Saccharomyces cerevisiae S288C: one gene and its partners. The protein of the gene in region 1 binds, or shares a complex with, the protein of each later gene. Each region holds a gene or a part of one and is shown in the gene's direction. Other genes may lie near its edges.

Region 1 (3,260 bases):
CCAATAGCTAAGTAGTTTTCGAATTCGAATTTGTCAAATTCTAAATTAATTTCGCCACGTTCATTTAAATCCTGTAACTCTGGGAAGAATTCCTTTTGTATTAAGTAGTTAAAATAATTTGTTAAAGTTGTTGCGTCTTTGTAAATCAAAGCGCTTGGATCATTGAATATATGAGCATTCTGAAAAACTAAAAGCATATCAATGATGAAATCATATATCTTGGAATACTGACCAATTTCGAGGTTCTGCTTTACGATCGATAAAGCCATGGGGCTATGCACTATTTCATAATATTCAGGAAGTTCATCTTTATCGACTAATTCCATAAACGGTTCACTTAGCTTGACTTTGTCGTCTAAGTTTTTAGGAGATGACGCACCCAGCAGAGCCTGGTTGATTTTCTTTTCCGTGGCGTCAACTAGCTTATTAAGATAGTGCAGTAATTTGGCTTTGACCTCGCTGTTAATTAAGTAATTTCTTTTCAAATTTTTTGCCTTCAATACTTCAAATTCAATCAACATTACTACTTGCATGGAGTTTTTTACAATCAAACTGTCATATTCATTGTAAGCTTGACAATTCTTTGTCAGTAGCTCAACATCCAAAAGAAAATTACTTGGACCATCTTCGTATTCATAATCTCTTGACTTGATTTCATTAATAGACATTGGCTGCTGGATCTTGTAATAATACTGTGGATGAAACTTCCTACTTGGTAGTTTGATGAAATCTTTGAAAATATCTTTGTATTTGTCGATAAGAACATCCAAAGTGAAACTAATAAATCGATTAAATTTAGGTATATGCCAGTCATCTAGAAAAAGTTCAGATTTAGGGTTTAATGGGGCGTTATAATCCACATGCGGAGTTTTCTCTTGGTTTTTAGGATGTTTTCCCGGCAAGTATTTAGGCCTTTCATCACTGCCACCGGCCTCAGTTGCCAACTTACGCTTCTTAACTACCATATCTGTGTACTTTATCTATTATTCTTTGGTTTGCTCTCTATTGTAATAACAGGCTGAGGGTCGTTTTAAACATCATCCTCTAGCATGCTTTTGTTGTTTTTTTTCTTGGGCTACTTGTCTTCCGAATTCGTCAAATGTGATTTTTTATTTCATTAACTATTTAACATTTATTTATAAAGCTTGTATACCAATGATGTTATACAAAAAGTTCATTAAAAGGGAACCGTCAAGGGGCCTGGTTTGTTTACCTGGGACTGGCTGAAAATTTCATTTAGTATATTAGAGTGCAACTTCTTTAACTGTTCCTTTGATATTTTCGCTGAATCCGGTGATGTAAGCAGAGTAAACGTATTAGTCCTTGGTGCAGTTTGGTGAGTAGTTGCCTGTGCGGATCCGCTTGAAGGCACTGAGTGCCCACTGAGGTTGTCATCACCTGCACTCCTTTCGTCTTCCCGGGAATCTCCACCTTCTTCCTGTTGTCTTTTATCAAGAGCTTCTTGCAGGTCTGTCCCTTGAATTACAATGCCACTATTGTTTATCATCGATATGTCTATTAGTTTATCGTTGGTGTTTGCAACAATGTCTCTTAACTCTTGTTCCCTGGCCAGCAGTTTCTGTTCGTGTTCGTGTTCCTTCAACCGCATTTGTTCGGCATCGTATTCGTCATTTGCGTTTCCTTGACTTCCATAGCCTGCCTGCTGTTCCCTCAGCAAAGCTTCATTCTCTTCGCCGGAATGGTTTCTACAACAGCTGAGTACGGCTCCCATTTTTACGACTTAAATCTGTCGTTGTATCCACTACCGCTATACTGGATTCGTACTCTGTGAATGCTCTCTTTTATTCTTCGTTCTTTATCGCTGCTGGTGAGGCGGGTAGCTGACAAATTTATAGTGAAACAACGACTTCTGTCAAATTAACTGCATGCCTGATCATCAGTCCTGAAGTGAATAATGGGTAGACGGAAAGGCGGACATAGTATGAGGATGTCGTCACTGCTTAAATTACATTGTATTAGACCATTGCCGCAAAGGTCGGTCTGGCTCTCTGGCTACAAGCAGAAAGCCAGATGTATTCACAGTTCCGCTGCAAACGGGGACTTTATGTCATGGTTCAAGAGGAAGAAGCAAGAAGAGCACCAAGAGCCTGTCAAGGACACCAAACAGTTGATAAAGGATATTGAAGAAGGCACTAACGAGGCTTCCTCTCAATCCTCTTCCAATAACAAAAACAGATTGGAGCTAATACCAGAAAATTTTATTGGCGAAGGGTCTAGACGGTGTAAGAGACAGAAGGAGTTGAAGCTTGCGGTCTCCTCTGCGCCATTCAATCAGTGGTTATCCAGGGATAAGATTACGTCTGATAATCAGTTAGATGATATGATATTGCAGGCAACGGAAAAAACATTGGGCAAAGTAGACCAGGACGTCCAATTCTCTGATTTGGTAGCTAAATTTCAGTTCACCAAATTTTTGCAATCTAAATCTGGCTATCTAATTCCTGATTATGAACTGACCACTTTAAGCACACCCTTGCAGTTTAAAAGGTATATTAAGGAAAAAATTTTGCCATCTGCCAACGATCCTAAACTCGCTTATAAAGAAGCTGAGCCAAATGCTATCCACCCATTTTCTGATAATTACGCGTCACCAAACATATATGTTGTTAACGATGTTACTTCTAAAGAGCAAAAAAGTAAATATGATACTATTATGAAAGAAATTCAAAAGTTAGAGGATGATGCAACAAGAAAAGCTTTGGAAACAGCAAGATCCGCTTAGCTTATGTTAATACTATTATTACTACTATCATTACATTTTAATATCCTGTACATATATATACTCTTTGAAGAAGTTTGGATTTTTCTTTCCCATTATAGATCACTTTTTTTTTTTACCTTATCTTTTCTGTAAGTTCTTTTTGTGGCTATATTTCCTCTTTGGCGGCTAACTCAAGAAGCAGTAAGGGAATAATTCGTTACACATTACAGCTAGCTAAAATCATCAAGAGGCAGGAACACACGAGATATACTGATAATGTTGGAATGTCTAAGCGCTCTGCTGGTTCTCTTTGCCGGTGGTGGTGGGAGCGTTCTCGCAGCGGTTCAAAGCAAAACTGTGGCAGATCCTAACTTATGTCCAGGTTACAATTCACAACTGATTTCCCCCTTCCTCTCCAGTTGCGTATGTACAACAAATTTACCGAGGTACTAATATTCTCTAGATTTTATTACTGACAAGATCCATGTGAAGAAACGAAATTTAAGTGAATGCGTGTCCCGTTATTTTGATGAACAAT
Region 2 (3,439 bases), on another chromosome or scaffold:
TCTCAATCGCTCTATGCAGATCTTTAATATCATAAAAGGACACCGTACCAGATCCAGTGGATACTCCATCGCCATCCAATTCCACATCAGCGTGTGCGACATTCCCACATTCCTTGAATATGTCTTTCAAAGCCTGCCAATTAACGGAAGCAGGTAAATTTTTTACAATAACTTCATGTGTTTTTCGGTTATGTCTAAGCTCTCCTCTATCGAGTGCTTTCCTTTCCTTGATATTGTTTGACGGTGGTGGATTATCTTGCCTGACGAAGATTTTACGATCCATGAAGAAGGCCCCATCGTACTGGCGGATGGCCCTGTCAACATCATCCGAATTAGTGAACTCTACTGTACCCATACCTCTGTGGTGCCCTCTTGATGTAATTATATCCGCGCGGACTACTTTTCCTATCTGTGAAAAAAACTCAGTGAGATCTTCGGGGGTGCTGTCATATGTTAAATTACCCACGAATATACTATTGGAATAGTTTCTATTGACCTTTTCTTCGTATGTACTATCCAATTCACGTGCCAACAAAGGACCGTAATCACCTCTTGCTCCACTACTACCAAAACCGCCTCTCCTACTGTCATCACGTGTATTGTGTCTACTCCTAAAGCTTCTAGGATAGTCATCACGTCTGTTCCCATAACGACCAGTCACATCTCTTCCTCTGCGCCTATCATCGTAACGGTCTCTAGATCTAGGATTATCTCTGTTATTGAACCTTTCTCTTTCTCTGTAATCAGACCTTTCTCTACCTCCTCTATATTCTCCTCTATCTCTGCTTCCTCTGTACGTATCTGCGAACTTACGCCTACCGTTATAATTACCTGACCTCCGGGACAAATGGTTGTCTCTTTCATAACCATGATCATCACTCATCCGACGACGAACAGGTGATCTCGACCTCGATCTACTTCGATTATTCTACAACAATGAATAACATTAGTAAAAGTAACTAAATTTCATAATGAGAGAGACCAATAAGTCATTGCGTTTCAAAGTTGGAATAAACTGTACATTATAGCATGGCAGGTAGAAAATCAGGGTTTTATTTATAATTGATATTCTCACTTTCATAGCCAGTAGATAAACATTAGCAATGCATTCAAAAAACCCCCTTTAACCAGTGGAATCACATTGAAGCAAGCGTTTTGAAGGCAGCATTAAATGGTGACTCACCATTCGTTGATGTCTATTTAATTCCAATGACCTCATAAAGTCTCATTTTACAAACTTTTCTTCACCTCCCTTATCAATGAAACATACGTTTTCTGAACCTCGTTCTTGATCAGACATATCCTGTTAACTTAATATTTGGCGTTCTATCTGCTCATTCAAACTGTTTTCGAACTCATGAGCAAACATAATTATGAAATTTTTCAGCCAGTACTCTACTTTTTCATTTCCCTCGCTAAACAAAGAGAGTCATTTGAAACGACCCAAGGAAAGACGTAAATTGAGGTATATGTAGTGACCAGAAGAGGATAAGGATGGCTAGAGTTTGGTGTTCAAGTTCAATTGTTTGGTTGAATAGGTACTAAAAAGATTTTCACACAACGGCTTCTCTGTAATGTTATACACACTGTTTTTATACCAATTATGCAAATTTGGCTGTTATGACTGGGTGTTTCGATATCTGACGTTCCGCTATTGAATTTTAAAGCTCTTTCTTTGGAGACTCATTCAAGATAGTTCACTGAAGAATGAAGTTGGCTCATTGTAAAAATAAAACTCGCCAGTTTGGGTGGTCATAATATTTCAAGCTTAACCTAAGGTGAGAATATGTGGAATCCTATTTTACTAGATACTTCTAGTTTTTCATTCCAAAAACATGTGTCTGGTGTGTTCCTTCAAGTGCGTAATGCCACCAAAAGGGCTGCGGGCTCGAGAACAAGTATGAAGGATTCTGCAGGAAGAAGGTTAGGACCAAAAAAATATGAAGGCCAGGATGTTTCCACAGGTGAAATTATTATGAGGCAAAGAGGAACAAAGTTTTATCCTGGAGAAAACGTTGGTATAGGGAAAGATCATTCCATATTCGCCTTAGAACCTGGTGTTGTTCGTTACTATCTTGATCCTTTTCATCCTAAAAGAAAATTCATTGGTGTTGCCTTGAGGCGTGATTTGAAACTGCCATCTCCTCATTTTGAGCCTACCGTAAGGAGGTTTGGCCGTTTTGAGTTAACAAATAAAAGGGCAGCATATAAGGAAGAAAATTCTATTTCTAGAAAAGACTATCTCGCAAAACCTAATATTTTGAAGCAGTTAGAGGTCAGGGAATCTAAAAGAAAGGAGTTACAAGACAAGTTGAGTAAGGTTCTTCGGGATGAACTTAAGTTAGATATAAAAGACATCGAATTGGCAACGTCATACTTAATTCGTGTAAGGGCTTCCCTGAAGAATGGATACCCCATAGAAGATGCAAGGTTCAATAGTAGATATTATTTAAAAGAAGAAGAGCGTTTGAAGGCAAGGAGAGAAAGCTGGACGAATGAGAAATTGTCGGAGAGTCTATCCAAGATTGATGAGTGTAGTGATCTTTTGAACTCATCTACATCTTTCAATAACAAGCTAGAGCTACACCAGTATATTTCGGAACAAGAAAAACAAGCTTTGAAGGCAAAACTATTAGAGGACCTAGAAAAATCCCAACACTTAGAAACCAAAAAAGACAAGAATTATATTAAGGCGCTTTTCAAGGACGCTTGTAATTTTTTGACTTTATCTGAAGAAGTACATTTGCGTAGGAAATACTTAAAGTCGGTCTTCCCCGAAACAGATAGTACGGTTGAAACCAAAAGCGGGAAGAAGTCAATTGTGTCTAGACGTTTTGATTACACCAAAAATAAAGTTGAAGTCATTGCTAGAAGTAGGCGGGCTTTTTTGAGCAAGCTTTGATTTTCTTTCCTTACGCACAGTATGTACACATATAAAATGTTTAAGAATGCCTGTAAATATTACTATTTTGTCGCGCAAGTAGCTAAACCTTTCGTCTACACGAAACTTAAAATTTAGTGCTACATGCAAGGGAATATGTTTATACTGTACATTCTCGTCTTCCTTTCATTGATGATATGCATCGCGATTGCTTTCATTTTGTGAACAATCAATTAACTAAAATGCACAGGATAGTAAAATCTATATTTACAAAAAGGCGGATAAGCAAACACTGAAAATCATAATGTTTTTTGTCACTTCGGTCCTTCAAGCTTGGTAGTTGATAAATTGTAAACTATACATCGTTTAATGCGACACATACAGCTCCCTTGTGGTGTCCACCGTACTGTCTGACAATTTCTCTAGTTGATAAATCCCATAATCTCACGTAATGATCGGACGATGCCGTTACTAGATACGCACTGTCAGCACTAAATGCGCAATCCCAAACCCACCTTTGGTGGCCATCCAATGTCGTTTCTAGCTTAAAATCATCAT
Region 3 (2,540 bases), on another chromosome or scaffold:
GCATATTCTCCAACATGTGGTTGTCCATGCTTTGTCATTTCATTACCGGGCGGCATTCTCAAAAAACCTCTGCATTTAACTTTATTTTCTTTTTCAAAATCGCCAAGGGTTTCCACTTCCTGACAATTACTTTGTGGGTCCCATTTCTTTACATAAAATAGATAGTCTAATAAACCACGCCAAGTGTTTGCCCAATTTGAAATTTCAGGCTCACCTCTATCATTATCAAGACCTGCATTTTCTGGATGAACATTCTTATACCCAACAGAGTATAGTGAAATAGCCCTCATATCCAATGAGTTATGGAGTTGTGCCATTTTATCTACGAGTTCAGACTGTTCTTCATTAGCATGAAATTTTTCAGGAACGGGGCTCTCAGGTTGATCTTTACCATATTTTTCAATATTCCCGCCTTCTTCGTCATCTGCACCTTCTTCGCCATCACGGACCTTGGAAAACTTATATGAAGTGCTGCACCCAATGACGGTCTTTGCCCTGTTTCTATAGTGCACTGGTTTGGATGTCATAGATAAATATGGTGTGTCGAACGGCTGGGAATTAAAATCACCACAGAAAAAAGGAAACCAATGAGATAAATCCCCATCATTTTCGTTCTGTAAAACATTCACACGATGCATGAATTCCTTCATCTTTTTTAAAACAATATAGCATTGTCTTGTTCGTTCATAAGTACCAAATGGATGCCAAAATAGATGCGTAGTGCCGATCAAGATACCGCATTTTTTAGACGATTTTTTACCCAAATTCGACAGTACTTTCTCAGAAAACTTCAAGGCTAAGACTAATCCCACGTTGTTTGTCGTTGTTCTAGTGGAAATGCTTTCTGAACTTTCTTTATCATAGTCGATTAGCATTTTGTCAACCTGGTGAAATAATTCTCTCCTCCACATTATCGCGACACCATGGTTTTTTGTAGCATTTCTATAATATTGTCCATCGTATCCCAATTTACTGAATTCATCTTTCCAAAAGCTTTGAAACTGAATATGATCAATCTCTTGCAAACAAATGACATCGGAATTATAATATTTAAACTCGTTTAAGAGAACTTTAGAACGCCTGTACCATTTTAAAGCGTCACCACTATCCGGGAACAGCTTTCTGCGGATTAGAGCTTGCGCCAAGCAATTATAAGTCATTAGCTTGAATCTAAATCCAGTTACTGGCTCTGCCTCATGTAGAGATAGGAAAGGTCTTCTGATAAAATGCAGCTCTGGCGGGCAGTCCGGATCAACACCTTGAGCCAACATTGCATCTCTTTTAGCCTTTCTCATAACTTCCCTTTCGGCACGAACCTTAGCGATATGTTCTGGGGTCACTATGGGCTTCGATTTTTTACCTTTCTTGCCCTTCTTTTTATGTTGAAGTAACGAATCATCATTGGTTTGATGTTTTGCATCTTTTACAGATTTATTAATTTCTACTTCTTGGTCGGGCGCAACATCTGGGGCAACCACTTTGACTTCTTTGTCTTGTGTCATATTTACTTAATACTCTTAACTACAATTAAGAAGCTATAAGGAGACTACAATCTCATCTTCTTGCAACACTACTTTTCCTTTCCTCTTGCTTTAGTGCAACCATTTTTTGAAAAATGAATGGTCTTTCTGCACGAAATATCTCTCGAAGAGCTTTTCTAGATATTAAGGATAAAGTATATCATCCCAAAAGTTAGGTGATGGAATCAATATTGATGGACCAGCTAAAACACGTTGAAAGCAGATATCAGGAATGGTGTTTTACAAAGTCACGTTGAGTAGGTCGCTTATCGGTGTGCCACACACAACGAAGAGCATTGTCAAAAGTTTGGGTTTAGGTAAAAGAGGGTCCATAGTCTACAAAAAAGTAAACCCGGCCATAGCTGGCTCCCTAGCTAAAGTAAAAGAGTTAGTCAAAGTAGAAGTAACAGAACATGAATTAACACCATCGCAGCAACGAGAGTTGAGAAAGTCAAACCCTGGGTTTATAGTGGAGAAGAGAACCATCGACTGAAACAGCGAAAATAAGGCAACTGGATTTCCTTTCTTCTTGATATTCCTGACTTATATATGTATATAGTATTATTTTTTCCTGCATAGGCACATATGTTAATAGTAATTTATGCAATTTTTGATACAAAGAAATCAATACACTATCTCGATTTCATATTTTATGTATGTATATATTTACAAGAAGAAAATTATGCATGGTCTATTGAATTTTATATTTGGAAAAAGAGTCCCTTTTTATAGCTTTTCCAACTCTAACATTCCTTCTAAACAGTCAATTTTTGAAATTTTACAATTCTTCACGATATCTCCAATCATCGGATAATGCATAGAACTTGGATGCAATTTTAATGTTCCTCTAGCGAACGATAAGTCTGGAAAAACACATCCAGTAAATCCGTTCTGCGGTACTGATGTTACCATTACATCGAAAGTCCTTTCTGGCTCTAGTTTGGTTAGCTTTTTTAAATAATTCAGTGTCCAGTACGTCGACGAATTACGGCTAGCCCTTTTTAAAATATCCGCTCGAGA
Region 4 (2,621 bases), on another chromosome or scaffold:
GGTGACATGCCATCAGATAACACATTTGGATTCTCATCATCAAAAGGAGAGACTTCATTTGATGACCTTTCATATTCATAATAACGATTGTTATTGTGGACAACTTCGTTATCAATTTCGAAATTTTGTTCCTGTGAAAACCGTTGCTGTTGTGAATCATTTCGCTGCTTTGTCTGGAATTGAGTTGGTTGCTGTTGAATACGCTGATAATCAAAAATTCCGTCATTCTCGTAAAAGAACGAATCATTAGGCTCTCGTGTAAAGTCGGATGGTAAAAGAGTAAAATTACCATTCATAGGATACACAGCATCGCCAAAGTTTTGAGGGCCACTCGCATAAGTTTCTTGGTAAGGGCCGGAAGAACTGGACTGTTGATACATTGCAAAGTCATCGGAAGAAGGAAAAGGAGGGAACATGTTATTATTGTTATTATTATTACTGATATTATTATTGTTATTGTTATTGTTATTGTTATTATTATTGTTATAAGAAACCACCATGTTTTAATGCAATTGAAGTAGTATGTGATGGTGAAGAAAAAAAAAAATACAACGATAGTTCTTTGTTTTTCTTTAGGAAATATCTGAATAGAAAAGGCTTCAACGACCAGAATTGAAAAAATAAAATAGTATTAGCAAAGAAAAATATGATATTTTTTTTCAAAAAAAAAAAGAGTGTCCTTGAGAATTGAAGTTGGAAACGGATATTAATTAGACAAAAAAAATGATGAAGAAAGATAAAGTGAAAAATATGAGGCTGGAATGGACAGTTGAACCAATTAAGGAGCCTAATTGGTAAAGCAGAACAGGTGAGTCAGAAGACTTAAAAAGGGGCAAATATCAAATAACGGAAGAACGAAGAAAATAGAAGAATACAATGTTCAAAAGAAATGAAGCGTATGTGTATCTAAAGGAAAGGTACAGAGACTATCAGTTCTAGAAATTGTAAATTGGTAAAATAAACAGAGAAAGGAAGCTTAAGGAGAGAATTCAGTGGGGAATGTGACTCTGTGAAAATAATGTATAAGAGTGGGCAACGGTGTTCTCGTAGATATAGCGCTGTGCTGAACCAAGTTTAGTTTTTTTTACTTTCCACCAAAGGCAAAGAAACTGATTAATTTATTGCTGTGACGAAGGGATGGAGTATGATTGCGGTTGTGACTGAATCTCTTTGTAGACTTTCGGACAACCACAAGATCCACTTTCTGGTAAAGTTAATTTCAAGATCGTGTTTTTTTCTGTCTTTTCTTTCTCTTCTCATAGCCAAAATCGTACCACAAGGAAAAAAAGCACCGGGTTACCATGATGGTGGAATCCCACTGTAAGAACATAAGAATGATAAGTACGCAACTGCCACGGCAGTTGGAAGAAAGACATAGTCTGCCCTCATTCGGCGTGTATTATTGGACGTCAAGTTACCTTTTCCAAGTGTTTCCCTTTTTTGTCTTTTGAATTTGTCAATAGGGAGTGAAAGGTCCATAGTTCAAGGGCATTCCAAAAGTGAGGATAAAAAAAGCGTAGTCATAAACACTTCAACGGTGTTGCCGAGAATGACGACGGTCCGGTAGAAGGTGGTGCTTTTATCTATGTATTAGTTATTTACTATCTGCGTAACGAAACTATGATTTTTTTTTTCTCTCACCCAAGCCGAAATTAAAAATTCTGTCTTCGCACTTATTCCAAATAGAAAGGGAATGAATCGTGGAACTATTGGCATTGGGATATAGCCTCGATCTACTCGCATATAACGGCTACGGTTCATAGTACAAATCTCAGAATTTTTCAGCAAGCGAAAGGATTTCAAAGAATGTTTTTACAGACTCTCCGCCTAACTATGCCAAGGATGTTTTTGCACATGAAACCGTCCCCCATAACGATAACAAGGGCCTGCACAGTGCCCAGCCTCCTATCTGTTGCAGCTCCGCAACCAGCTCTTGTTGCAGCTAACAGACCTTTGGTTTTTAACAGAGGTTTCAAGGTCAGAACATCTGTCAAAAAGTTCTGCAGTGATTGCTACTTGGTAAGAAGAAAGGGAAGAGTATACATTTATTGCAAGTCGAATAAAAAACACAAACAGCGTCAAGGCTGAAAGATGTAAATCTCTTCGCTGTTCTCCGTTCGGGTGTTTACAAAATATTCTCATTTTCTAAAATCTGTAAATAATACATATCTATAATATTCTTTTATGTATATGTTAATTTTTTGTATCATTTTTTCCAAATTGATAAACCAACACCTCCGATCAGTAACGTTTTCTCAGAATCAGCATCTTCATCATTGGAAATGATTTCTAATGATCCTGTATCCGCCACAGTGGTACGCTTTTTATCTACCAGTGAAAGCTTGCCTGCGGTAATTTCCCAAGCGCGTATTACTTGATCAACCGATGTGGTAATGACTTCTTTGCCACCATTAATCAACATACCGGACGTTATTGTCGAAGAAGCTGCTGCAGCGATAAAGTCACTTGTTTTTAACGTTACTTTATTCGAGTCATCTAATTTCAGGTTGCTTAACCCTAAACCATTATCATCACCCCCTGTCAAAATTGTGGCGGAAGTTCTTGTAGCATTAGCAACATAGTCTAGGGACTTGACACCAGATTGATGTACCGGCAACTGC

Evidence for each region.
Region 2: MRPL13 (region 1) and MRP7 share a complex: the UniProt entries of both Saccharomyces cerevisiae proteins name them as parts of the mitochondrial large ribosomal subunit.
Region 3: MRPL13 (region 1) and MRPL33 share a complex: the UniProt entries of both Saccharomyces cerevisiae proteins name them as parts of the mitochondrial large ribosomal subunit.
Region 4: MRPL13 (region 1) and RTC6 share a complex: the UniProt entries of both Saccharomyces cerevisiae proteins name them as parts of the mitochondrial large ribosomal subunit.

The regions. Positions count from the first base shown.
Region 1 is NC_001143.9:449,906-453,165, reverse strand, and holds MRPL13 (mitochondrial 54S ribosomal protein mL50 MRPL13), read left to right. Parts: upstream 1-1,948; coding exon 1,949-2,743; downstream 2,744-3,260. Other genes in the region: RSC4 (Rsc4p), read right to left, coding at 1-965; MEH1 (Meh1p), read right to left, coding at 1,178-1,732; YKR005C (uncharacterized protein), read left to right, coding at 2,999-3,145, 3,215-3,260. UniProt on the Saccharomyces cerevisiae protein: Component of the mitochondrial ribosome (mitoribosome), a dedicated translation machinery responsible for the synthesis of mitochondrial genome-encoded proteins, including at least some of the essential transmembrane subunits of the mitochondrial respiratory chain.
Region 2 is NC_001146.8:620,776-624,214, reverse strand, and holds MRP7 (mitochondrial 54S ribosomal protein bL27m MRP7), read left to right. Parts: upstream 1-1,786; coding exon 1,787-2,902; downstream 2,903-3,439. Other genes in the region: HRB1 (mRNA-binding protein), read right to left, coding at 1-928, 1,271-1,300; TOR complex subunit LST8, read right to left, coding at 3,237-3,439. UniProt on the Saccharomyces cerevisiae protein: Component of the mitochondrial ribosome (mitoribosome), a dedicated translation machinery responsible for the synthesis of mitochondrial genome-encoded proteins, including at least some of the essential transmembrane subunits of the mitochondrial respiratory chain.
Region 3 is NC_001145.3:840,190-842,729, forward strand, and holds MRPL33 (mitochondrial 54S ribosomal protein uL30m MRPL33), read left to right. Parts: upstream 1-1,752; coding exon 1,753-2,013; downstream 2,014-2,540. Other genes in the region: NGL2 (RNA exonuclease), read right to left, coding at 1-1,502; DSS1 (exoribonuclease II), read right to left, coding at 2,247-2,540. UniProt on the Saccharomyces cerevisiae protein: Component of the mitochondrial ribosome (mitoribosome), a dedicated translation machinery responsible for the synthesis of mitochondrial genome-encoded proteins, including at least some of the essential transmembrane subunits of the mitochondrial respiratory chain.
Region 4 is NC_001148.4:197,289-199,909, forward strand, and holds RTC6 (mitochondrial 54S ribosomal protein bL36m RTC6), read left to right. Parts: upstream 1-1,806; coding exon 1,807-2,088; downstream 2,089-2,621. Other genes in the region: MRN1 (Mrn1p), read right to left, coding at 1-500; tRNA (34-2'-O)-methyltransferase regulator RTT10, read right to left, coding at 2,207-2,621. UniProt on the Saccharomyces cerevisiae protein: Component of the mitochondrial ribosome (mitoribosome), a dedicated translation machinery responsible for the synthesis of mitochondrial genome-encoded proteins, including at least some of the essential transmembrane subunits of the mitochondrial respiratory chain.